Linked DNA regions of Stegostoma tigrinum. The protein of the gene in region 1 interacts with the protein of each later gene in a pairwise test. Links are inferred from orthologs where the notes say so. Each region holds a gene or a part of one and is shown on either strand. Other genes may lie near its edges.

What was found. The genes of interacting proteins can lie anywhere in the genome.
Region 2: the proteins of lmo4 (region 1) and mothers against decapentaplegic homolog 4 interact in binary tests that used the Homo sapiens proteins (3 or more experiments, as listed by UniProt). The link is inferred for Stegostoma tigrinum from reciprocal best matches to the Homo sapiens genes LMO4 and SMAD4.

Annotation. Positions count from the first base shown.
Region 1 is NC_081361.1:90,465,268-90,469,020, forward strand, and holds the start of lmo4 (LIM domain transcription factor LMO4), read right to left. Parts: upstream 2,775-3,753; 5' UTR 2,684-2,774; intron 1-2,683. UniProt on the Homo sapiens protein: Transcription cofactor. Plays a role in establishing motor neuron identity, in concert with MNX1, acting, at least in part, to disrupt LDB1-LHX3 complexes thereby negatively modulating interneuron genes in motor neurons.
Region 2 is NC_081354.1:158,000,446-158,004,198, forward strand, and holds the start of mothers against decapentaplegic homolog 4, read right to left. Parts: upstream 2,424-3,753; 5' UTR 2,206-2,423; intron 1-2,205. UniProt on the Homo sapiens protein: In muscle physiology, plays a central role in the balance between atrophy and hypertrophy. When recruited by MSTN, promotes atrophy response via phosphorylated SMAD2/4.

The DNA.
Region 1 (3,753 bases):
ATTTCATTAGAATCATATTTTAATTTATATAATTTTGTATCATATTTGTCAGCATATTTATTATGGAATAATATTTGCTTTACATAATCTATTTATGATGTATTTTGTATAATCTTACATATGAAATATTTTATGTAATCATAGATACTACTTATTTTAATAGAGTCAGAAGTCATACGACACCAGATTATTGTCCAGAGATAGTAGGAACTGCAGATGCTGGAGAATGGCCCAACAGGTTTATTTGAAATCGCAAGCTTTCGGAGCAGCGCTGGTGGATTATAATCTGATGTCGTGTGACTCCACACCGTTATTTTATAGAATCCTGTATGATATATTTTATAAGTCTATATATGCATGGAAGAGACATACTAGACTCGAAACGTTGACTATTTTTCGCTCTCTGCCTGATCTGCTGAGTATCTCCAGCACTTTCTGTTTTTATTACAGTTTCAAGGTTTGAGAATACTTGCTCCTCTCACACTTGAAGATGGAGGTTGAACAAGACTTTTCGTTTCACAGCTATGAGAATCACAGTGAGCTATAAGCTTTCTTTGTTACTTCGCGGGAACCGTTTGCTTGCGGAAGCGTTGTGAGTAAAGTGAAAACATCGTCGAGGCGAGGCATAGTCAATAGACTGTTCCCAATCACCACAGGCACCAACCTAACAGCAGCCCTTCCTTTTCGAAACAGAGATCTGGTTTAAATACAACTGATCCGCGGTTAATTACAAGAAGGTTGCAAGTTATAAATAATCTGGTTATTGCTGGTAAGATCCGGGCAGATAGTCTTTCAGTCAAAGGCAGAAGTCACATGGAGGGAGGTTACTGTAAATCACAACGTAGCTCTGCGATGTTATCACCGGCTGCACCGAGTGAATTATTGGCCTGTCATTCACCACCAAGAGCTGAAGCTAACCCCTCCAGGCCCTGGGAAAAAAATCCACGTGGAGAACCCGGGGATTTATGAGGGGAGTCACGGCCATCACTCACAGCCTAGCTACTAACCCATCAGCTAGCTCCGTCCATGGGTCACTGAGGCCGTTTGAGAACTCAGAAATGCCTGCAAGTGTCCGAAAGTCAGGGGGCGGAGGGTTCGAGGCTCCAGGCAGAGACGCTGACCAAAAGAGAGGTTTACTTCATTATAAAGTGGGTGGGTGTGTGTGCGCGCGTTTTGTTCACAGGTATTTGCAGTTTAGAAATTGACAGGGTTAACGAGGGTGCTAATGAGTGACAGTGATGCTTTATTGACCCAATTCCGTGGGATCTTTCTTTCCCCTCCCTCTGTGTCTCCGCTTTCTGCTCCTGTGATGAAACTGAGCCCGAATCAAAACCCACACACACAAAAACTCAAGTTACACTTTTGTCAATTATTGCACACTCTAAGGCCCGAAAGTAAAAACGCGATTATTTTCTGTTTGAGTTTCAGCGTCATTTAAGTTTGAGTTCGTCAAGTTTGACGAGAGTGTGGGCTCAAACTGAGGAAAATCTCAGGTATTCGTGGATTTTAATGTGAAACTCCAAACGCTACCCCCACCCTAACAATTAATGAACTATTGTCTCTCTCTCTCTGTCTCTCTCTCTCTCTCTACTGACTAGCAGATTTGTTCCAGTTTTCTAATTTCTCCTTAAATTCCACCCAGACCCGAGTTGCCAACCTATTCAGTGAAATGAATGATGTGAATAATACGGTTTTCACAATGGAATAATTAATTTGCTGAGACTATTAAAACAAGGGAGAATGATGAAGTGACTTGAATGCGAGCCTCGGAAGGGACTCATTGTTTGTCCTTTAATGAGCTTTTTGGTAAATGGCGGGGAAATATTGCCCTGCTCTCTGTAATATGATCGAGGTAAAAGTGTATTAAGAGTCGAAATCCCCCAGTGCAATGCGTTCGGAAAAGGCTCCCGCCCAGTATTGGCGAGGGTTTGAGTGTTTGCTTCAGTTCATAGATGATTAGAGTCCACACCACACACACACACACACACACACACACAAAATACCATGATATGGGCAGGTAGATTCTAATGAGCTGCCGAGTGATAAATTTCATAATTATTCTACCCACTGCTAACAGAAAATTCATCAGTCAAGGCAAATTAGTTCAGATTCATTAGAATAAGAAATCTAACGGGCACATATACTTTATTAGTTTACACCAATAGGTTTAATTAGCTACATATTTCACAGCTACAGTGCTGTTTCAGCCTGCTCTTAAGGAAGGGACTGCTTTATGTCTTTTATTTACAGTAACAAGCTATCAGGGCCCACGTTAACCCCGTCATTAATTCTGGAAACACGAGATAGGCTTGCTTTATCAACCAGAGACCCGTCAGGTCTTCGCTCAGTCTCTGAACTGGGCAAGTGTTATTTTCTCCTTCTCACACACCTTCGACCCTTCTATCCCTCCCAAATTAATTCTGCTGGCTAAACAAACACAGAGCGAAACAAGACAAACTCCAAAAACAGACACAAAGGACAACAAAACGCGCCAATTTTGTCAATAGTTTTTACAACAACATTAGCCCTTAAGGATTCGCCGCGCAGCTGTTCTGCGCTCTCAGTATGATCTGGATTCTGACGAGTTCATATATTTAATACTCTTACTAGTTGCAACTATGTCGTTTTAAGCCAATCAAATAGTAATTTAATGCAGGCTTTCATTTTCAAAGAATCTACTTACTTGTGTTTGCGAGTAATCTTCCTCAAAGTACCTCAGAGTCCGTCACACATCTTCAGCAGCAAATGACTAGCCTCACAATTTTCGCACTTGCTGGAGGGAGTGGCTGAAGAGTTGGCCCCTCCTGCTGGGAAGAGCTGGAACTTCACTGCTGATCATCAACTGGCTTCATAAGTTGCCAGAACTGACAATAGGCTACACTTGAACTGAACCAAAACACCGAGAAGGCTTAAGATATCAAGTTATGTTAAAAAAAGTATTCATTGAATGGCCTTATAATGTACAGATTCCAACTAGAATAGTGCCTTTTTAAAAAGCCTGCTTTCCATAAAAGTTTTTTGCAACTAGAGTGGGCTGTGAACATGTTTTTTGCACATTCATATCCAATGCCAGTAAAAAGATGCCTACCTTGTCATTTTAATGTCAGCCCTTGTTCAGGCGTAGTACTCCAAGATTTGGTGCTAAAGAAAGATGACTGTCCAGAGCCCGACTGAAAGTGTGTTTCACTCGGATTAGATGTCAAACCAAGCAGTTGGCTGTTCTTTCAGGTGGCAATTTAACACAATCTAATTTCCAAGAAGGGCTGGAGAATTTTCTGCTTTGTCATGGTATTATTTATTCCTCAGCTAATATTACACAAGGAAATGAATTATCCGAACATTACAAAGTCATGTGGATAGGTACATGAATGAGGAGGATTTAGAGGGATGTGGGCCAAATGCTGGCAAATGGGGCTAGATTAATTTAGGATGTCTGGCTGGCATGGATGAGTTGGACTGAAGGATCTGTTTCCATACTGTACATCTCTGTGGCTCTGTGGTCGTGATCAGTGAGCTGGTTGTGAGTGCTTGCTCTGCCAAATTTGGCAGCTTCAAGTTCTAAAGTACAATGATGTCTTCATTTGAAAAGTAGCTAATTGCTTATAATGTGGCATTTCAAGATCATAAAAACTGATACGTAAGTTCAAAGTTGGTGTTTTTTAACTAAATAGAAGGAGTTAGTCATAGGACTCGCAAACACCTTTAAACTGGATTTACATAGTGTTGGAATTGCACTCCAGTACATACCCTGAT
Region 2 (3,753 bases), on another chromosome or scaffold:
TCATTCTCTGCAGAGAAGTTGTGGTCCTTGAAAAATGAGGACATCTAGGATGTCCGGAAGTGGAATGCCTCTTCTCGGGAGTAGATGTAGCAGAGGCGAAGGAATTGAGATTAGGGGATAGCCTTTTCGCAGGAAGGTGGGTGAGAAGTGGTGTATTCTAGTTAGCTGTGGGAGTTGGTAAAGAATCTTACATATTAACTTTTTCATTCTATATAAAGATCTATCGAATACTTGCGTTTTAATTTCAGATTTCCATTATCTGCAGTACTTTGCTCTTGTTCATGTATTTGGACATGATGTCTGACAAATTTCCAATCGAAGAAGCCACAGAAATCCACAGCAGGGTGTGTGACTGCATAGAAGATTGGATTTAAATGATGGGAATCAGTTAACTTCCACAACATTATTAGAACAGTGATAATAGGAACTGCAGATGCTGGAGAATCCGAGATAAGGTGTGGAGCTGGAGGAACACAGCAGGCAAAGCAGCATTTCCTGCTCCACACATTATTAAAACAGTATCAAGTGGTACTTCACGAGGATTGGACCAAGATTACAAACAATGAACATGAATAACAAACATGAAATCTACAGTCTTCAGTACTTCCAGTATTTTGATTTTATTTTAGCTCTGCAGCATCCAAAGTTCTATCAAAACTCTAAGTCTGTAAAATTAGCTTGCAGTGAAATTGTGAGAACATAGACAGTAAAGGATTATTTAGAAATCAGAAAATATAATGGAATTTAAATAAGGTCTACACTTGGATAAGCAAATAAAGTTCTGCGTACTGGACTGATACCAGCATAAAACAAACTAAACTGGCAGCAGGAAAATCATTTAAGAACTGTGAATGACTGACTTAATACTATCTATGGAATAATGCTGCTAAAAATATACCAAAAATTCTGAAGCAAAAAAAAACACTGACCAGAGTACAAGAGATTTTGCTACGCCAGTTCAATTGTGATCAACCTGCTCAAAACTGGAGAATGGTTGGAGAGTAAACAGACTAACTCAAAACATAGAAGCCCAAGCTTTACAGCTTATGAAGACGACTGATAAGCACAATTCCAGGGCCAACTCCAAATGGATTCAACAACCTCCAGTCTCAATATCAGCAATATCACAACTGATAGACTGCAGGGCAGGGATGCCTTCACTAGTTACTTGGATGTTAGTGTTTTGAAGTTCCAAGCAAAATGCATGTTTTATCACACTATGTGAAGTATTTAATAGAATATTCACAAAAATTTGTATTAAATTCAGGAAACATGCATGGCCGTAAAATTATCTCTTTTCACAGAATTTAAGTTCTAAGTCCAGTTTCTCTCGAGTGATACATTTTGCATTTACGTGCTAAAAGCGGCCGCACTATAACAATATAAGACAAAATTTAAGTCAAGTCTAGCTTTCATTACAAGGCATCAGACTGATACTAATAGTTTGCAGTACAATCTTTTATCCTGTTTTACTATTTCCATAACCAGAAAGTTAATTGGCTATTCGTCAAAACAAAAAATCTTCCACCTTTCAAAAAATCCACTCACGCTGGAGAAGACTGATCTTATTCATGTGGATCATTTTAATGGCAGATAAGATTGTGTAACCTAAAAATCTGTTAATATTTTAGGTTCAAAGATTTTTGAAAGAAATAGTAATATTTCTAAACAGCATCTACTCAACGCCGGCCGAGGAGGATGGGAGAGAACAAAACTCTGTCAAAACATAAAAATCAGACCAACTACTCGATCACAAGACTTCTCTGCAACTAACTGGAAAGCTTTAATTCAACACGCAAACCCTTAGTACACCCCGGCACCACAGTTAAATACTTCAATCGGGGGAAGAATTAAAACAAAATGAAATACAGATTTTCAAAACCCTATATAAAAGAAAAATTGCGCGTTTGTGTAAATCAGGATCCTCTTCCGCCGCCCCCACCCCCTGCATGTTTACAATACCCAGATGCTCCTTTAGAGCAGCCAATAACACGTTGAGTCTAAGTAAAATGCTTCTTATAAAACATCATAGTAACTGTCCTTCAGTTAATGGTCGCACAGAGACATTACTGTGGAAGAAAAGCTTGCCAACTCGAACACTGTTGTTCAGCGACTCTAGGCCTATCCTGGGCCTCGGGATCCCCGCCTTCTCTGCCCCGGAGCCGGAGAGAAAGTTTTCCGGCCCCCGGATCGGGCCTCACTTACCACAGCTTGGCGTCGATCTTTCTCAGAGAGTCCGGGAGATGGCTCTCAGCTGCTCTGATCACCCCAGACCCCTGGACTCTCCGAGCCGCATCTGAGCTGCCGGACGTGGCCGTGCTGCTTCAATCGTTCACCCTCCCGGATTCCCCCGTCACCCAGATCCCCGTTTTTTTTTAAGGACACAACATGGCGGCTCCCAGGACGCATGCGCCCTGTATCCTCACTCCCCCCAAACTCGGCGGACGGTTCTGAACGGATTCGGCAATCTCCGGTCAGAGCCCGAGCCGCTCCGGCAAACCCACGTCTAGGCACCCAAAACCTTTTTGCAAATGCTTTCGTCCGCACGAGCGACTTGTATCAATTCGCCCTACTCGTTTCTCACACTTGTATTTTGTCCACCCGACTGATTCGTTACAATATGACACAACCACAACACAGCCTCAGCATCTGTGAAAATTTACAGCGCAGCAAGCGGTCCGTGGTGTCCAGCAGTGGGTTTTCACCGGACCCTGGCCAGTTCCTTCATCGCTCGCTGTTTTCATTTGTTTTGTTTTGTTTTGATTTCATTTCGCTGGCATCTGCAGGATTTTACTTCTGCTTTCAAATAATCTTCGGTGCCTGCGTTTCAGTCTGTATTTAAAGCAGTAAATTACAAATCCTACGCCGTCACTGTATACAAACTTGTTTTTCCAAACTTCTTCAGCTCTTGATCCTAATTAAGCAGTGGTAATTAACTTCATACAAACCGTGAGAGTAAATAGGATTCTGCCCTTAATCTTTTCAGAGGTGCATGCAAGAAAGAAACTACAGTACTGCATAACGGCAATCGCTTGAGTTCAGCTCCAACAACACTGGAAACTTAACACCAACCAGAACAAAGCAGCCCACTTGACTGGCACCACAGCCACAAACATCGCTCTTTTTACCCACCGGATGCTCAGTTGCAGCAGAATATATCGAGGATGCACTGCATGTTCACCAAGACTGCATAGACAGTACCTCCCATATTAGTTCAAAAACTGAGCTAACGTTCTGGAGACAAAAACAAAGTTGCTGGAAATGTCAGCAGGTCTGGCAGCATCTGAAGGAGAAAACAGAGTTAACCTTTCATGTCCAGTGACCTTTCCTCAGATCTAATGTTCTGGGGACCAAGGTTTGAATCCCACCATGGCAGATTGTGGAGATAATGGGCACTCCAGATGCTGGAGAATCCGAGACAACAAAGTGTGGAGCTGGATGAACACGGCAGTACAAGCACAAAAGCTGACGTTTCAGGTCTAGATCCTTCATCAGAAAAGGGGGATGGGGAGAGGGTTCTGAAATAAATAGGTAGAGAGGGGAAGGTGGATCAAAGATGGACAGAGGAGAAGATAGGCGGAGAGGAGACGGACAAGTTAAAGGGGCAGGGATGGAGCCTGTAGAGGTGAGTGTAGGTGGGGAGGGGATAGATCAGTCTGGGGAGGATGGACAGGTCAAAGGTGAGGTTAGTCGGTAGGAAATGGGGATGCAGCTTGAGGTGGGAGCAGGGGATAGGTGAGGGAGGCAGGGATG